Linked DNA regions of Arabidopsis thaliana. The protein of the gene in region 2 interacts with the protein of the main gene of each other region in a pairwise test. Each region holds a gene or a part of one and is shown on either strand. Other genes may lie near its edges. The genes, in order: AT5G41350, UBC29, AT2G37150 and RMA2.

Region 1 (4,931 bases), on a different chromosome or scaffold from region 2:
TACTTTACTTGGTGATTTTTTTTGCACATTTTATTCGTTGTTCGCTTATGTTTATCTGATTTTATTATTTTTAAAGTTTTCAATTTTGTTAAATTTAATTTTTCATTTAAACCAATGGCGTGACAAAAAAACCTCTATTTTATACTGTTTTACACAGTAATGGTCACTCAAAACGCTTTTCTGGCGCGTTGAAGTTGTTGGTCGACAAAAATAGTTGGATGGTCATGCCCGATTACAGTCTAAAAACATGAATCTGTATAAGTATTTAACTAGAAAAAACAAATTAGACAGGAAATTTTTTAAAAAATAAAAATATTTGTCCAATATACCATTAGCATGATTCACTATAATTAGCAACTATTCATCTGTCACTTACTCACTTGTGACAAATATTATTTATTAAACAAAGCAATGACTAATATTGCATCTACATGTAACAATATCATTTACTAGATAAGTCTCATTTAATTTGACGTACTCATGTAAGTAAGATGTACGACAATACGACATCACATATTCAACTAATGAGACAACTAAACAAACCAAGTTTCGAAAATGTGAAGAACTAAGAAATCTAAAACATAAACACTACAAACTAGTAAGTATAAACAATTTTCATATTACATATCACAGAACAACATAAAGAAAATAAATAAGCACTAAACCAAACTAAAATCGAACCGTAATAAACCCAATCCATACATAACAAACTCTCAATTTCAGTTTGATTAATATTTTTCTTAAACTCAAGAAAAAACTGAATCAAACCCAAATTGAAACCCCAGCTTTAAAACACTCCTAAAATAACCTATAAACAAGAATTACCAAAATTAAAACATCTAGAAGAAAAATTATCAGTTTTGTCTCGTTTTTTATTCACAGAAGTGAATCTAAAGCACAAACTCTAATTCTTAATCTCCGTTTTTTTGTAGACGATTTGAAACGTCTGTACACAAACATATGTATATCAACACTGACATGTTTCGTAAATCCAACTTTGTGATCAGCTATTAGTGTATTCTTACCCATTTTTTCTTTTTAAGTTTTTCTCTTGTTCTCCAATTTCTTTCTTCTGATACAGAGAGAATTGAGCCTTCTAAGATGCGGCATTTGCGGGTTGCTAGTCAAGAGTAGAGTCAAATACCATTTCCTGCAGAACAAACGGATCCTCTCAGACATATCCCGGGAATTAAAATGAATTTGTAAACAAGCTAAATTGGAACTACTCATTATTTACGGTTTACTTAGAGATTAGAGTTTTTCGACATACACCAAAGAGAAGTGAATAAAAGAATGTACCTTGTTGCAGACGGGGCAGGTTTCACTTCTCTCCATCCATTCTAGAATGCATGCAAGGTGAAAATGGTGATCACATTTGGCTACAAGTTTCGGGTTCTCGATATCATATTCTGAATCAAAAGCACAGACAATATAATAAATAACCCATTCTCGCAGTCATGTAAGGTACGATTATGTTTATATGTTTTTGAGATGTGGGAAAGGCAAACAAGCTTTTACCTTCCAAACATATGGGACAATCCTCCTCTTCCTCTATTGGTATAAAAACAGCTTTTGATAGCTTCGGGTCTATTTCTTCAGTAGATTCAAGATCAATCTCTGTTTGGATTTTGCTATCTGTCTCTTTATGTGAGCATGTAGTTGGAACCCCGAGAGTAATACCATCAACTGTTTCTTGAGCAGACTCGGTATTAGCAGAGTCCACCGAAACCTCTCTTATATCAACACAAGTAGCCTCTTCACCACTAGCTGGTGTTTGAGGAATCCCTATAGGCACATCGAAAGGGGTAGGCAGTGGCGGTGGTATATAAGCATCAGGAGATGATGTCTCTAAGTTTGTGTCTACTACTACAACACCAGTAGAGATTGCAGAGGAAGTCCTGTTATGAGCGGAAGATAAAGGCACACGCTCTTCTGTTGCCCTTGGGTACTGCAAAATACAAGTCATAAAACAAGTTATATTCCCATATGAATCTCGAAGCCCGTTGGGGCTTTTAACTCATTTAGTGTCCTGAAGCACATCAAGATTGATTTATTTGCAGCCTATCAAAGCAAGGACACCCAAAAAAAACGAGGAAGTGGGAGAAGTATCAGACTAACGTAGTAGTACGCAGGTCCATTATCTACATCAGCTCTTCGTGAAGAAGAACAACAACAGCAACCTCCCATCTCTTCTTCTCTTTTTTTTTTTTTCTGTTTTACAAAAACTACAAAACCCGAAGACTCTTCATCTATGCTAACCTACAAGATATGTGAAGAAACAAATTACATTCTGAGATCAGTAGGAGAATATTTATCATCTATATGCAAGAAACTCAAACAAGCTTTATCGTTTTCGATATCAGTTTGAGCTGTCTACTAAAGTCTGATCAGACTCATCATGCTAGTAGCAACAATAAAACAATTCAGCTACTAACAGTTCAAATTCACTCTCAATAATCAAAGATACAATAAACATCAACCATTAAAATCGAGACAACAGTGTTGCGACTACAAGCCTATGTGAATCTCCTACAATTCTCATTCTCTTTAGCACCATCTACACACAATTGCAATAAATTCAAATCAGTTTTACACTAAACCCCAAAAACTTAAAACAATTCTACTCAGAATTTAACTCCAACACAAACAATGAATCCACAAAAAGAACCAAAGCTCCATTAAGAGCAAGCTAATCCGTAAAACCCTAAACCGAAACTTATAAAAGCAACAATAAACATCAGAATTCTCAGAATCTAGCATAAACACATAGGAGAAATACGGATCAAAACAGTAAAAAAAAAACCCACAGAATTTCACACAAAAATCAAGCTCAAAACCTAAAGAAAAGCGATCACTAGCAAGAACAAACACCAAAGAAGAACCGATCATCTTCTCGAGATTGAATCAGAGAAGAGGAATTAAAAATCTCAAAATCATAGAGAGAATTTTACTTTTTGTTCTTGGGGGAAGCTTTTTTTGTTTTGTCTTCGTCTTTCTCTGCTTCTGTGCTTTTTGCGGTGCTGTGTTTATCGTGCGCTCTATCAAAATGACTTTCCTAAGAAATTACAAAGACTCTTTTTGGGCTCAATATTATATTTACTTACCTGATTTATTAAATTCATTAATACAATTATTAATTAGCTGATTAATTATTTTATTTTTTCCGTTACAATGTATTTTTCAAAATTTCAATAATGAAATTACATAACTGAAAATCGGCTGAAAAGTGTCGACCAAAAAATTATAAATTGGGAAGTACCATTTTCAGTAAAATTATTACTATTTTTTTTCCGGCAAATAATTTATCGATGTTTAAAAAAGAAACATGGGCTCAAACTTAAGAATAAAGCCCATTTAAAGAATCCTATTAAAAGCCCATATTTGATCTGTTACTGCAGCCTTTATATATGAATCGTGTTCTTACGTTTCTGCTTAACAATTTCCTTCCTCCGCTTCAAACGAGTCACCGACTCGACACAGGAATCCGAATTCGCCGGAGACGCAGCTTGCTTCGTTGAATAGCTTACAACGGGAAATTACCACGAAGACGGTTGTATATTCCCTCCGTCGTACAATTTAGGTTATGTGCGAATTCACAAATTGAAAATACAAGAGAAACAATCCCTAAAATCGATTTGATTAAGAGGAGCGAAAAGAAGAAAATCAATATGGGAAACGGTAATGGTCTCGAATCTCGATCGTACTGAGTTTTGATTCGTTTATTGAATTATCCGGTGAAAAGAGTATGCTAATACTGGGGAAAATGTTGATGTTTAGATGAAAGAAAACGACCTACAAAGAAGATGAAGTACGGTGGGAAGGTTCGTGTTGATTCTTCTCCACATGACTTTTTTTATTTATTAGGCTCTTCACTTCTAGTTAGTGTAATTGTACTGTAAAAATCTCAGGATGATCAAAAGATGAAGAACATACAAAACGTTGAAGATTACTATGATGATGCTGATGAGGATTCTCGTGATGGTAATATTGATTACTCTCGTATAATTAACATAGATACATTGGGAACAAAATTGAAATAGAATTTATAATGGTTTTTAAAGGTGAAGGAGAGGAGAAGAGGAGAGATTTTACTGATTTGGAGTTGAAGCCGGATCATGGAAATAGGCCTTTGTGGGCTTGTGCTGATGGAAAGATTTTCTTGGAGACATTTTCTCCTCTCTATAAACAAGCTTATGACTTTCTTATCGCCATTGCTGAACCCGTTTGCAGGTTTGATTTTGATTTGATTATTATATCAATGTACAAGTTATGATTTTTGTTGTTGATTTTCATTCATTTGTTACTATTTCAGGCCTGAGTCAATGCACGAGTATAATTTAACCCCACACTCGTTGTATGCTGCTGTTTCCGTTGGTCTTGAGACAGAAACTATCATCTCTGTTTTGAATAAGCTATCTAAGACCAAGCTACCCGGGGAGATCATTGATTTCATCCATGCTTCTACTGCTAATTATGGGAAAGTGAAGTTGGTATTGAAGAAAAATCGGTATTTTATTGAATCACCATTCCCGGAGGTAAGTTCACCAGACTGATCCTCTTTCTCTAGTTATGCGTATGGGATTTTTGTGTAGTTTCTCTGTTGGTTTTGCTCACTCGTTAAATATAAACAATCTTAGGTGTTGAAAAGGCTTCTCAGTGATGATGTCATAAATCGAGCAAGATTTACTTCTGAGGTATGTTGAACTCCTCAATTTAGTGCTTTATGTTTACTATTACTGGATGGAAATACATACCATGATCTGTTGTTCTCAACAGTTTTTGCATCTTTTGATACCAATGCGGCAGAGAGATCTATCCTGATTCTCTTGGGGCTATTGGTTTCGTGTTTAAATTCTAATTTTTTCTTGAACTATTTAATAGATAAATAAACTCATTATCCTTCTTTTTAAACTCCTTGGTTCATTGAATGT
Region 2 (3,606 bases):
TTTATCTAAATATTTTAAAACCAAAATTTAATTTTATCCATTCTATTTTGCAATAATTTAACTATATATTTCATGAAAATATACTGAATTTTAATTCTATATATTTCATTTTAATGGATAAGAGCTGAAAAAATATTTCTACATATTTCATCTTCGTGTTTTAATTCTTTATGATATTTAAATTTTAAATAGTAACCCACACACGTTTTCAATATTTAGTGTTCTAACTCTTATTTCAATCTATCTATTCTCCAAAAATATCGTTAGATAACGTAAGTTATTTTTGTTGTTTACTAAATAACTAGGCTTAAACTTTAAATATTAGTAACTTGTCCTAAATTTTTTACACAAACATGACTATAATTAATTCTCATTTATCTTTGATACTATTGAGTTTTCCCATTATAACCTTTATCTATGCATCTCACTATTTTATGTGTTGTTTGAAATCTATATTTTAGAGTTATTTTAACAAAATAAAAAGAAAAATAACAAAAATTTCGACAAAATACACAAAAAAACATATTTGAACGGTCCTTTAAAAAAAACAAATTCGCTAATAATATGAATTATTTTATTATATAAAATATAATTAAATTTTTTGATTATATAAATAATTTTTGTGATTTATGTATATATTTTATTTTCCCGATAGGGTTAGAAGATTTTTTATATATTAACAAAATTAGATTTAATACATGTCGATATCTCATCAATCATATGAGTTAACAACTTTGAAAACTCTACTTTATATATTATATATGTTTGTATTAAAATTATAACAATTTCTTCTTCTTCTTTTTTTATTACAAATAAGACCAAACCAAAATAAAAAGGAAAAAAAGAGGAATTGTGAGCTTTAAAACAAGGCATACTTCTGGGTCCAGCTTCGAGCCATGGCTTCATATTTGGTCTTGTCAGTTTTGTATATGTGAGCTATCTCTGGCACCAGAGGGTCGTCAGGGTTTGGATCTGTTAGAAGAGAGCATATAGAGAGAAGCACCTATAATACCAAAATGTTAGTAATTTGTGTTACCTATTGGAGCTTCTTGGTTATATACCAAATCTGATATATGGAATTATAGAAAATATTGACAAATAACTAAATACATATATAGAATTTCAAACCTTAGAAATGGTAAGGGCAGGGCTCCATTGGTCTTTGAGAATGTCCAAACATATGTTTCCATTACTGTTGATGTTTGGGTGAAACACTTTGGTTCTGAATACAACCTGATTTTATCAAACAAACATAACAACAAGAGTAAAGAAGAAGAAAAAGATTGAAAATAAAGATCAAAACTTAAGGTTCCAAAAGATCATAAACGATCCAATATTTAATGTTGGTTTTGTGCCTTTTGGTTATTGGATTTAAGAAGTAGATTAAAAAACAAAAAAATTGTTGAGAAAGTTGTTACCTTGGGAGGTTTAAAAGGATAATCAGGAGGGAAATGAATATTGACAAGGAAAACACCTCCGGAGTAAGGACTTTCATTCGGACCCATTATAGTAGCTTGCCAGTGGAACATATCTTCTCCTGTTGGACCTAAAAATCCCAAACCAAGGAGAAAGGAAATATCAAAATCTTTAGAAAAAATTTCTGATACATGGCTTATATTGTATTAAGAACAAATTGTGATCCTTTACCTGCACTGCATGATACAGGAGGGTCTCTTTGCAACTCCTTCAATTCTTTCAATATCCGTCTCGTTGCCATCAGGTTGCTGAGTGTTTGATATAATGGAAAGTAGCACTACAAAGAAGTATGTGAAAAAAAATATGAGTGGTTTGTGAAGAGAAGGAGAATGAGAGTTGTGTTTTTAAAGCGTGAACCGTAAGCAAAGATTTGTGATTCTCTTGCAAACAGGAATGCTTGCACTATTGCATTTATCATTGTTTAAGTAAAGATTTACCATTGTAAAGTCTCTTTTTAGCCGCCCGCTTTGCCCATAAAGGTAATGGAGAAAGATCCATTCTTTTGTTCTGATTCTGAAAGAGAGACGTGCCTTGAAGTGGATGGTCTTACGTACATGCTTACTGTAATATACCATATCTATTGAACGGTCTATAATGGGATTTGATAAAGTCTGAGAATCAGAATAACTTAACATAAAGAATGGTTATTACAATATCCTTTGTTCTTAATCTTATTGTCCACGTTCACTGGACCAGCAAAGTGATGGGTGATGAGCATCATGTTCAACAAATATAATCATAAATCATAACATACATTTGATGAGGTAAAATAGTTATTGAAAACTTATAGGACCCATTTCAAAAGTTTCTTAAGATTATAGGCCCATGTATCATTAGGAAAAAAAATTATAGGCCCTATTTACATACTTTAAAATTTTACAATAAAAAATTTACAAATCAGAGTGGCGTCGAGTGAGGAACACTCCACAAATCAGTGATGCATATATTATTTCCTTATTTTAAAGATTTATATCACAACATATCGTAGAGATCGTCATTGATCAACCTATATATGTAAATGTAAATCATTGCCTTTCAATCTAAGTATAACCTTCAAGCCTCTGTTTATTTCAGACTTATTAGGTCTTTTGAATATTGCTATAAGAAGAAACTCCACAGCTGTTAGTCCAAAGTTAATGTACATGCATGCTACGTGATTTGCCCAACCGATATTTTATGATGGTGATTACGGGAGGAAAATAATTCTCAACAATAGTTGGTCTCGATTTTTTAAAAGACGATTAATTGATTACTTAAAAAAATAGCCATTTTTTTTGTAACAAATGTTGTTTGCTTTGCTTTCAATCTTCAACCACACGGTCAACACATTTATGTATTTTACGTAAAAGAAGCATACCAAAGCTTTTACAATTTTTGCCGTTATGATATTTAAAGTTAGAAATAAGCTAAAGGTTTAAACGATGATAATCCAAATTACAGCAAAAAAATTTACTCAACTTGTAGACAAAGAATAATAACTAGATAACAGGTTACACAAATTTTTGTTAGATCTCTCATGGATTTAATCCACATTTCCACAATTAAAGAAGAACCAAAAGTGGTGTTTATAATGAACATAATAAAATAAAATAAAATCATTGGTTTCGTATGAACCATTTTTTTTTGGTGTAATACGCACCTTCTCAACATAAGCATTGGCTCACATTTCTTTTTGGTGGTGATTGAGAGAAGTCATTGTGTGTATACCCGCCAAATTAGGCTCTTCAACCAAAAACCTTAAAATTAGAAAATTCAACGAAAACAAAATGAAAGGAGGAAATAAGGAAATAAAAGGGAGAGTTATTGGAAGTTTTATTTACAAACAAAATGTGGAATCTCAAATTGAGAATACGTGAATTTCTCTGAAACCTTATGTTCTCTGCGAAACATTCTCTTATTTCATTTTCTTTCTCTAAAGTTTTTATTTCTCTGACAAGGAAGATATCCCTTTAGGTGGATTCTTGTTTAAATTTAAAAATCCTCAAGAAGAAGAAGAAGAAGAAGAAGATAGTCAAATGAAAATACATTCTTCTGATCATTCATGGCTTTTACTAGCCGTTCTCGTGATTCTCCTCTCCTTCTCTGGAGCTCTCTCAAGCGATGACAAAGAGAAGAAGACGAAATCGGTCG
Region 3 (6,521 bases), 8.3 Mb from region 2:
ACATTTTTAGCCCCTCCATTACCTCCAACAAAACTAAGCGCACGGTTACCATTCCCACCACCCAATAACCTTGCTGTTGCTGACCGGAAACCGCTACTAGCTGTGGAACTTGACGAGGTCCCAGTTGGTGTCGATGGAGCAGGTTTATCCTTAAGGTGAGCTAGAGTAACCTGACACCAAAATTTCACAAATCCATTCTCAGAAACCACTTTCAAAACATAAAAATGAAATGTGCATTTGATATTCTTACACAAAACCTAATAGCAATTTCGTAATAGCAATCACAAGTGCAAAGAAATCAGATTGGATTAAACTTTCAATTCAAAAATAAACACCAAAGAAAACGAATCAAATCTTCACCTGAGTAACGGTTTTGCCATGAGTGTAGTGAAGAAGCCCAGAGGGATGCGTCTTCTCGTAGTGGAGCTTGTACTTTCCTTCAGGCGTCTTGAAATACGTTTTGATTCCCGGAGACTGAGGATTCGCCGCCGAAGCTGACGAAGAAGAAGGCCCAGAGATCATCCCATTCGAAGTGTTCATCATATTTGCTCACTTGCTCTTTCTCTAATTCACAAGCTACTTAGAGCATCCGATCATGTCCCTCCCAAGCTAGGGTTTACCCTTCTCCCACTACACAAAATCCAAAAATCTTCTCTTCTTCAATGCAAATTTCTCTAAACTCTGTTCATCATCGTCGCCAAAATCAAAATGGAACTTTAATACTCCTGGATTCGCCAATGGCTACTGGATCAAAAAGATTAATACAATGTGGATTCCGATTCGCTTCCTTTATTGCTTTCTTAATCATCCTCTTAACTCATCAATCAAATTGACTATTAATGGATAAAATCAAAGTCATCTCGATCAACGGTCAAGATCCCTTTAATCTCTGAGTTTCTCGAACCCTTTTGATACGTACAGCTGAGGCCCAAGTACAGTCCAAAAATATAGGCCCATTACTGAAGAACCATAGTTAATTAATAAATTGTTTAGTCGACAATAAGACAGTGAACGGGTTTTACCGGTAGCCGGTGAAGTTGGTCAGAGAAGGGATTAATGTCCCGGCAACGTCGTAACTCAACCGCTTTAATTTGATTTTTCTTAAATATAAACCGATACTCTTCATCGCTCAACCATCACCAAAAAAGAAAGCAATTTGTCTTCAAAACATATTTCTCTCTCTAAAACCTCTTTTTCATAAAAGGTTGCGTCATCTATACGAATCCATACGTCTCTTTGCTTTTCTCCGATCGGTCTTCTTTTCTCATCGCCGGAACGCTTTGGTAATGTTTCTCATTTCTCCGATCATTATTGTTGTTTCGCCGTTGAGCTGATTATTTCGTGTTGGTATGTATAAACAAGCCGATCGTTGTTTCCTTTTTTCTCTTGTGATTGTGTGATGATGGATTGTTTCTTTTTTTCGGTTTAATCCGGTTTATTCCCGGTTTTGCTGCTACATCGGTGACTTTTCCCACAATCTTCGGGTATGATCGCGATCATGTCCGTTAACCGGAGTCGGTTCTGATAATTTCAGACTTCGAATTTGTTCTCTTTCACGTAGTTGTTAGCTTTTTAAGATTCCGATACTGAGAAGAGACCAGCTCGGTGATTAGAGGAGATGTTGTAAGCTTTGTGTTTTGGTTAGCTGTTGATAATGTTGTTCAGGCTGCTACTTCAGCGATGCGGGTAAGCTAGTTTGGGATATAGTGTATTAGCATAACCTAGGCTTAGCTGGTTTGTATCCTGCAGGCTGCAGGTTTAGTGGCAATGGTGGTTTCTAGTTCTATCATACCTTTCTCCACCACGAACCTCTGGTAGTTGAGAAACTGGAGAAAAGCCTAATCAGTGATTCAAGTGTTTGGAAGATTTGAGAACTAGTACGGCTATAGTTTCAGGTCAGAATTCATCTTCCTCTTTGAGAACTTTTAGAAACTTTGAAATTATGGCATCATTCTTAAAGAAATTGCATTGATAACACATTTCAAACAGATGTTAGTTCCTCATGTTAGCCCATTAGGATTGGTGGCTGGCCTATCCTTGATGTATTCTGATTTGCGGATTGTGTTGTGGACCTTCTTGGTTGATTGGGAAAGCAAAGCGAACTTGAACTCAAGTCATCTAGAAGTTATTCTGATCCATAGGGGTAAGGAAATAACCATAACTAGTCTCTGCCATCACATGTGTACCAGAGTGTGTTTAGTCAGTTGAAGATGCTTGAGGTACGGTATCCATGAGTGGGGAACTTCAATCTTCCTAACAAACTACATCTATCATATAATGGTTTCTAGAGTGACATGCTGTCACGTACAAGCATTTGATTTGGATGCACAATGATGTGAAACATAATGCTAATTTTAAGAAAGCATCCTTTCACACAAGCCCGAATTCAGGAGTCTATTAAGGTGTGCTGGTGGGTTTGAAGACAATAAGAGCGCAGAAATAGTAAATGAGGTAGTAAGCCTTTGCAGGCTAGTACTTTTGTGGACTAAATCCGTTTATCTAAGGAAACTGTAGTGTATTCAATTTGTGGATCAGAGGAGAAGGAATAGAATTTGGTGTTCTCATTGTATTAGTGAAGTCAAGGGCCTAATTGCTTCCTGTTGGTCTACTTTAAAGGTGTGCAGAAATGATGAATCAGTGATCAATCAAGCACGACGGCTTTATCACTTGGGTAGTGTAGTGTATTCGTGGTTAGGACTTTCTAAACCTATATCCTTCTAGGATTATTTGCCTGCAGGTGCACTTTTGAGGGTTTCGGTTCAGAAAAATATTTTAAGCTTAAGTCCTGCTATTGGATTTTCCATGTAATTTTCTTGCTCATGTCATCTATGGTTGTAAGTTTAGTGAAATACATGTACAAGGCCTTTACTTGAATATAAACGAAGAAGTAGTACATTGATAGAAACTGAAAAGATGATATCAAGTGTTACCTATTTTGCATGAACTTGCTCTGATGCTCTTTTATGCGGATACAGTATATGATAATTTGCCATCGTGCCTTATTCTTTCATCCTCTTCTATTTCCTAATCAGTTTCCTATAGACTTTTCTGTAAATTCTATAGACTTTTTGAAAGTGTGTAATTTGATGAACTCCTTGTATTACTCTTCACTTTTGATGGCTCTGGTTTGGAGAGTCGAGAACCTTAGTGATACTTTAAATGCAAAGGCTTCTTAGTTTCCCAACCGTGCTTGTTTTCTGCCTCTCTTTTCTTTTGGTTTAAAAGAAGTATGTCTGTTGTTATTGACAAACTCTTCTATGTAAGTTTTTCTTATGAACTAAAAGATCTGTACTATTAAGGTTTATTTTTCATGTATAAGCATCATGAACTTTCCTGCAGCACAGAGCCTAAGTCCACAAAAACTTGTTTGCTTATGATATCATGAGATCTGAGGTATATAATATGGTAGGTACATGTTACAAAGGTAATGGTACTAGAGCTTGAAACTATGGACTGATTTCTTATATATTTACTTGGGAAATTTGGCTATCAGACTGAAAGTAAACTATGTTGGTTGGAAATTATAGATTTTTTTTTTTTCTGAGCTTGCGGATGTTTTCCTGGGATTTTGAATGGTGAGAGAAATTTTTGTGCAGGTTTAATGGGGCACAGACATTTTCTTGGTTCATCCCAGTTTTTTGATGATGAACATGATCAAGGCTGGAATCATACACACCCAGAACATCCATATTCGAGTCAAGGTAATTAGTCCTTCATTCTATAGTTCCTTAATCTGTTTTTTATTTATTGAAATTTGGTTGATGATGCATGTTTAGTTTTAGGGTAATATGTTCCATATTTCTGATTAATTATTGTCCATCCCACATTTTCTCAGCAACATCTGGGACCAGTGAGAACAGATCACATGTTTATCCAGCAGAAAACATGTTGAATGAAGGAATGCCAGTGTCTTCTCATTGGAACTCTTCTCCAGGACCAAATGCTTATACTGACTCAGGTCATAGTGTGGAGAGACCACACTACAATCCGGGGGTTTCGGGGCCGTCCCATGATCCTTCCGTGAATTCAACAGTTCCAACTTTCTCTGCTCCACATGAGAATTATGTGACATTTGCATCTTCTTCAAGCTACAACAGCCAGACATGGTCAAATGCTAGTTATGTTGATCATCAATCTATGGAAAGTGTGAGAGGAGCACAAAAGAGAAAACGACCATGTCCTTCTTCCATCTATGAAATGGGTAGTTCAAGCCAATATCACGGTGACAGAACTCCTGCAGACACTCATTTCCCCTCGGAATTGCACTTGGGAAAATCAATAACGCATGATCATGACCCTCATTACATGCCATGGCTTATGAACCCAACTTACAGAAGTAATAATCTCTCGATCAGGGGAGAGAGCTCTTCAAGGAATGTCCGGAGTCGTCCTACACTTGATTCAGAGACCAGCTTAGGTAGAAATAATTTGCCAAGAAGCTTGAGCCTTGATTCTCATTCTACACACCACCACAGTGTTGATCATTATGGCTCAGGTCAATTTCCTGGTCAGACATCTCACGGAAATAAAGACTGGAACTGTGCTAGATTGTCCCCAGTTCTTAGAGGTATGCAAAGTTCACTTTGTCTCGATATCTGAATCGTCTTTGTTTCTAATAATCACATTAATTCCCACTTTGCAGATATAAATGGCTTTAGTCCAGAGACAAATAATTTCCTTCCTGCAAGAAGTGTTGTCAACAGCTTATCTGTTAATACTTCCGGCTATCATCACCATGAGCTTACCGGAAACAGAAACCCTACAGTTTCCCACGGGGTTCCTGGAACTTCAACACTATCTACAAGCAGCAGCCGCTTCTCTCATAGGTCAACATCCACCTATAGATCTTCTTCACACGGTTCGCGATCGGGACATGTAGCATCTTCTTCTGGAGACAGGTCTCATTTGGTCACTGAGACTTATCCGTCTAGGCATTTAAGGCCACCACCACACATTTCATGGCGTAGCGGTGATCGGCCAGGGAGACGCAGAAGTTCCTATGAGAGGTTTCAGCCTCCTTTCGATGAAGTTGCTCTCCACGAACGGTTTTCATCTGAGGTATATATTTCCCTTACAGATGCATTATTTAGAGTGGAAGTCTGTCTAAATTACATTTAGTATTAAGATAAAGATCAAGCCGATATGATACAGTGCATATCGAATATTAAGATATAGATTTGCAATCTTATCATTTTCTGCTGCATGCTGAACTGTAATCTGTTATTTTTTGGGGTGTATGTAATAATAGGAATTCATGGTTGAAGATCGCCAACCACAATACTACGGATCCAGAAACATGCTTGATCACCACAGAGACATGAGGCTTGACATCGATAACATGAGCTATGAGGTTAATAGCCAAACACTTATCTTTTGAAGCCTCACATAGGCAAAACGAAAAGTTTTGGTACTGACATATATATGCAGGAACTCCTTGATCTTGGAGAAAGGATTGGGAGTGTCAACACTGGTCTATCCGACAGCGCAATCTCCAGTTGCTTGTTAGCAACAATGTATTATCCATCATATCAAACAGAGGAGCAAAGAAAATGTGCAATCTGCCTGGTAAGATTTAGTTTTTTTTTTTTTTTTCACAACCTGGTAAGATTTAGTTGTCTGAAACATTATGTGTCTATAAAGTTAGAAGTAGGCTAACTTAAGGGTGATGTGGTAATTGGTAAACAAATAGGAGGAGTACAAGGAAAAAGAAGAGTTAGGGGAAGTTAAGGGGTGTGGTCATGACTACCATGGGAGGTGCATCAAGAAATGGTTGTCTATGAAGAACTCTTGCCCTATTTGCAAATCCCCTGCTTTACCTGATGCTTCTAAGAACTCATCATAAATTATAGGTTATCTTTTATGTGTGCATGTTATATTCATTTGTCTTTCGAAAGGAAGAAAAATATGTGACAGAATATAACATTAAGTTTTCTTAGTGATTAATAGTTGTAAATAGAAGAAAGTCCAGGATCTTTCTCAAGGGTTAATATATATGTTAATTATTGGAAAAGGCTCTCTTTGGAAAATCTGGATTTGTTACAGATGCAAATAGTTACACAACACTTCACACTATATGGTATTTCATCTTCAAAGAGAAATAAGATTGACAAATAAAGAGATGATATAGTCCTTGAATTTTCCTTGTGGATGGGTGAATTCTTCACCGGTCCTGTAGGTCACATCTATCATTTTTCCAGCATTAGTGGCCCGTGATAAGATATCGCCTGATATTATCTTCCTTGACTTCAAGTACACTTCGTTCACTGACTTGGCCGTCTGGATTTAAGCCACTCATAACTTTTTCTTCTAGCAGTTTGTACCAACCCAAGAAAACTGCATGAAACAGTTACATACATTGACACCTCAACACCACCAATCTCCAAGTACTCATCGAATGTAGGCACGATGTCTCCTTGTGCCCACTCTGCATAGCTAAGGTTGGCCTTTGAGTATAGTTTGAACTGCTTAATGTTTAGGAGCATATATACAAAAAGATGTTATGTCTATGATAATCTCTTTAT
Region 4 (3,941 bases), on a different chromosome or scaffold from region 2:
AATTCGAACTTTTTAAAACCTATAAGAAGTGGAAATAGGCAAATTAAATTAAAACTTTTGCAGATAGAAAAAATCGATCCCATGAATGAGGGATTGTCTCGATCGGACCCGACCCATAAGGCCATGAACTCATCTCATACTAGTCTATGCTTTTAATGAAACCAGCTCACTCCAATCACTTTACCAATTTTCTTTGCAACATTTTTAATGTATAAAGAAAGACTCGTACTGCAAATTAATGTTTCTACTTCTTTATCTAACAGTCGTATTCGATTCGCCGTTATCAATCAAATCTAGGGCCCCCTATTCTCACTTTTTTTTTTCTTTTTTTTTGTAAAAGTTGGTTTGGTTTTAAACGATTGTAATCCGACATAAGCAACACCATTTGCGTCGCATTCGAATGCCACTATCAGCTTTTTTGGAGCACAAATCTATTTGAGTTGAAGATAAGCCTCCTTTTTAACCCATGCTCTCATCTTCCCACATCATCCCATGATATATCGAATAAAGAAGAAGCCATTTGGTGTCGTTTCTTTCTTTGGACGTTATTATATGCTCATCATACAATTTCAACGATTCAAGACTCTTAAAAATATACAAATTGTTATTACATATATGCATACTCATTCCAATTGGTATATTATATACACATATATATTATAATTAGAAGAGAAATAGACACATAAACATGAAGCAAAGTAGAAACAAGTAGACTCTGCTTAATGACTCCTCAGCCTGCATTGCCCGTCGCCTAGACCGGACATTCATATCGCGGTAAGGTGCCATGTTGCTCGAAGACTCTCCAAATAGTCTCCGGTATACCATTTCGCATACCACACCCATCACCGGATCAGGCATTCTATACATGTAACGTTGACTCTCCCCTTCTCCTAAACGTTGACCAACTCCTCTTAAGTCATAAACCGGACCAGTTGGTCTGCTCGGTACATTTGAACCGGACTGGGGAGCTTTCTGTCCTCGTCCGTAGATCGGGACAAGCGTAGCCTCGGAGACATCAGATTTGCATACCGGACATTTTGGTGGTTCCCTCTTATGATCGTATTGATCGACTCGTTGTCTTGAATTGTTGGACGCATAAGTCCACTTGTGAATGCAGGGCCAACAAAACAGGTGGCCACATAAAGTCACGACCGGGTCTCGAACCTGATCCAAACATATGTTGCAGTCGAAGTCTCCTCCAGAATCAACCAATGTTGTGTCGTCCTCATCCTTCTCAATCTCCATTTTACTAAAACATACAAGACAAACAACCATTCACTTGACCAGTCGTTGTTTATTTAATGAGATTTCACCTAAATAAGTAAATAGTAAATACTAAAGTCTAATTCCAATTAGAGATTTATAAAATCAATGATACTTCATAGAAACAAGAAATATCATCAAAATATGAAGATCAATATAGATTATAACAGAATTGTTGTGTATATACTTAGCATGATCGATCTTGAATTTAAAACTTACACTAACCAAAAAAAAAAAAGAAGAAGATTAGACGCAAAAAAGTAAGGATCATATTCTTTAACAAGTTGAAGTTACGAAGACTTGACCTAATCACTTTCTGTTTCCGACGCTTTGCTCTGTTTTCACTTAATCCCAAAGCACGTTATTGTTTAAGAAAAAAAGCTAAATAATTAAAGACAAAGGAGTGGTTGATTAAACAAACAAGTGATATTATGATCCTTTAAAAAATGACATGGTATATCGAAAACAATCATCTTCTTGCGTAGCAACTCAAAAACGGTGCAGATCTACTACTAATTCGATGCCTTTAGATAGACACACGCAACAATATATAATAAGAGTGATGATTCCAGAAAAAAGAAACGTACTCTTTGGAAAGATTGTAAGTACCGATGGATCTCTTCTGTCTTTAAGCCTTTGGAAACTTGAGAGAGCTTGTACAGGTTCATGCGACAATGGCAGAAGAACAGAGAAAATGATTTATTTGGGTTAAGAGAATGGGGTAAGAATGTTTAGATCGAGGGTGGTGCAGAAGCAGGAGACCTTATTATACACACATACACAATTATTTTTATTCTTATTTTCTTAAGGTGTGCAAAATTAAAATCCGGACAAGTTATGATTTTAAAGAGGAAGAAACGTCTACCTAATTAAAAATAAGTAGATAAAGTAACGAAACGCCATTCATCTTTTTTTTCTTACATGTCTGTCTTTATTTCATGAAAAGGTCAGCAACGGATAGCATCGTTTTAAAAAAAAGTAAACAAGATAATATAATTATTTATACACAACTAAATATATATTTATAGAAAAATATTTATTTTAGTTTGAATAAAATTGTATGTTGAAAAAAAAGTATGAATTGGAAATATGCCCTAATGAGTCCATGAGACCATGACTTTTGTAGGGGAAATATACACAGAAATTGCAAAATTCCCCCATAACTTTATCCCAATATCATATTCATAAGATAAGAATTTGGCTCTGAAAAAAACAAAAGATAAGAATTTGGCAGTTTCTGTTTCTGGCAACACAATAGTAGATACTGAACCAAGCTCGATGACGTGGCACTCCATGGCTGCACCGTTACTCCATCAAATTCACTTGAAAAAAAAAACAAAAAAAAAATGCTAGTAATTTTGAAAATTCTGCTTATTTTGGTACTTTACTTTTTTTTTTATGGAAATTGTAACTATTAGGTGTTGAGTGAATAACAATGGCAATTTGGTAAGTTGTTTATTCAAAGTTGGAACTGGAGAATACTAAGTTTGCGACTAAAGCCTTAATCAAAGGCCTTATCAACCAATAGTTGAATTAGTTTATAGACCACAAAGATAATTAGGTTACACGTCACGGAAGCAAGGAGCTATTGGTGTCACCAGACCATAGTATTTAATTTCAAGTCTATTAATTGTAGAAGGCAACCCAAAATCCACTCCTTGAAATAATAAAACACTGTCTTAAATTCGTATTTGTTGAGTCCTTCACCACCATTATGTCTGATTCTGCTTATATACAAATTTAAGTAAGGTTGTTAGACGGTTCATGTCTCCGAATCTTTGATCAATTGTAAAGTGTAATGTAAAATAGTTTTTTTTTTTTTTAATTTTAAATTTGCGACTACTATATCTAAAAGTCTACTATCAACTACAACTTCACTTGTAAATTGTAATACTCTCGAATAGATCATTTTTGATGAAACAAGTTAGACAATCATCCAAAATTAATCACCAATTTGAGTGCCTCCGAATTTATTCACAATATTCATTATTGAAAAGCATTTTTGGATATGGCCAACCAATAAAATGAAAATTGAACTTTAAAAAAAAAAAACTACTATACCAACAATGTAAAAACAATGTGTGTGTTCACCATCATTAGAACAAGATCTACTCAATGTTTTAAATGTATATATAATATGTTTTGCGCAAAAAAACGTATATGTAATATTATATATATCACGTTCATGATAATGTTTTCAAATTCTCATATGAAATTATTGGAGCAAGTTGCATTTACGATCCGGAGAACTGAGCCAAGAAATGGGCGGTTCTCAATTTATTATGGGTATTATTAACCAGTGGTGGTTGAACCAAAATTAATCTATTCATTTTCTCTATCAAACTTTTTGTTACTTTGATGGTTTGTCTCAATCGATTAAAATAGTAACTAGTTATTTTGTTTTGGCATGTCACTGAATTGATGTTGTTTCTTCTAATTTATGATCCGCTATATCCGCAGCATTTTTCTCTCCTCCTATAACTCTAATGGAAACAGGAAAAAGAAAAAACAAGAAACGATTAGAAACTCAAATGTGACAAAAAGTCAAAAAATAGAGGAGGAAACAAAAACATGAAGATTACTCATCATTGTTTGGTTTCTCTTCTCTCTATCCTCCTTTTGTCTGGATTCGCTTTCTCTCATCACATCTCTCGTAAATTACAATTATCTAATACTTT

The links.
Region 1: the proteins of UBC29 (region 2) and AT5G41350 interact in a two-hybrid assay, tested with the Arabidopsis thaliana proteins (one large-scale study listed by BioGRID).
Region 3: the proteins of UBC29 (region 2) and AT2G37150 interact in a two-hybrid assay, tested with the Arabidopsis thaliana proteins (one large-scale study listed by BioGRID).
Region 4: the proteins of UBC29 (region 2) and RMA2 interact in a two-hybrid assay, tested with the Arabidopsis thaliana proteins (one large-scale study listed by BioGRID).

What each region holds. Positions count from the first base shown.
Region 1 is NC_003076.8:16,540,906-16,545,836, forward strand, and holds AT5G41350 (RING/U-box superfamily protein), read right to left. Parts: upstream 3,068-4,931; 5' UTR 2,484-3,067; coding exon 2,481-2,483; intron 2,307-2,480; exon of another isoform or gene 2,260-2,306; coding exon 2,119-2,259; intron 1,949-2,118; coding exon 1,519-1,948; intron 1,410-1,518; coding exon 1,300-1,409; intron 1,151-1,299; coding exon 1,121-1,150; 3' UTR 557-1,120; downstream 1-556. Other genes in the region: XPB2 (homolog of Xeroderma pigmentosum complementation group B 2), read left to right, coding at 3,669-3,678, 3,778-3,821, 3,909-3,981, 4,062-4,230, 4,313-4,535, 4,638-4,694.
Region 2 is NC_003071.7:7,265,991-7,269,596, reverse strand, and holds UBC29 (ubiquitin-conjugating enzyme 29), read right to left. Parts: upstream 1,876-3,606; 5' UTR 1,718-1,875; coding exon 1,648-1,717; intron 1,547-1,647; coding exon 1,419-1,546; intron 1,234-1,418; coding exon 1,129-1,233; intron 1,004-1,128; coding exon 860-1,003; 3' UTR 542-859; downstream 1-541. Other genes in the region: AT2G16730 (glycosyl hydrolase family 35 protein), read left to right, coding at 3,492-3,606. UniProt on the Arabidopsis thaliana protein: Accepts the ubiquitin from the E1 complex and catalyzes its covalent attachment to other proteins.
Region 3 is NC_003071.7:15,603,069-15,609,589, reverse strand, and holds AT2G37150 (RING/U-box superfamily protein), read left to right. Parts: upstream 1-1,989; coding exon 1,990-2,143; exon of another isoform or gene 2,144-3,381; coding exon of another isoform or gene 3,382-3,424; exon of another isoform or gene 3,425-3,596; coding exon 3,597-3,701; intron 3,702-3,835; coding exon 3,836-4,567; intron 4,568-4,642; coding exon 4,643-5,058; intron 5,059-5,248; coding exon 5,249-5,350; intron 5,351-5,427; coding exon 5,428-5,565; intron 5,566-5,689; coding exon 5,690-5,842; 3' UTR 5,843-6,009; downstream 6,010-6,521. Other genes in the region: AT2G37160 (Transducin/WD40 repeat-like superfamily protein), read right to left, coding at 1-257, 361-543; AT2G37140 (Terpenoid synthases superfamily protein), read right to left, coding at 6,261-6,464.
Region 4 is NC_003075.7:14,006,951-14,010,891, forward strand, and holds RMA2 (RING membrane-anchor 2), read right to left. Parts: upstream 2,338-3,941; 5' UTR 1,851-2,337; intron 1,250-1,850; 5' UTR 1,246-1,249; coding exon 664-1,245; 3' UTR 525-663; downstream 1-524. Other genes in the region: LLG3 (LORELEI-LIKE-GPI ANCHORED PROTEIN 3), read left to right, coding at 3,835-3,916. UniProt on the Arabidopsis thaliana protein: E3 ubiquitin-protein ligase that promotes the ubiquitination and proteasomal degradation of the auxin-binding protein ERABP1.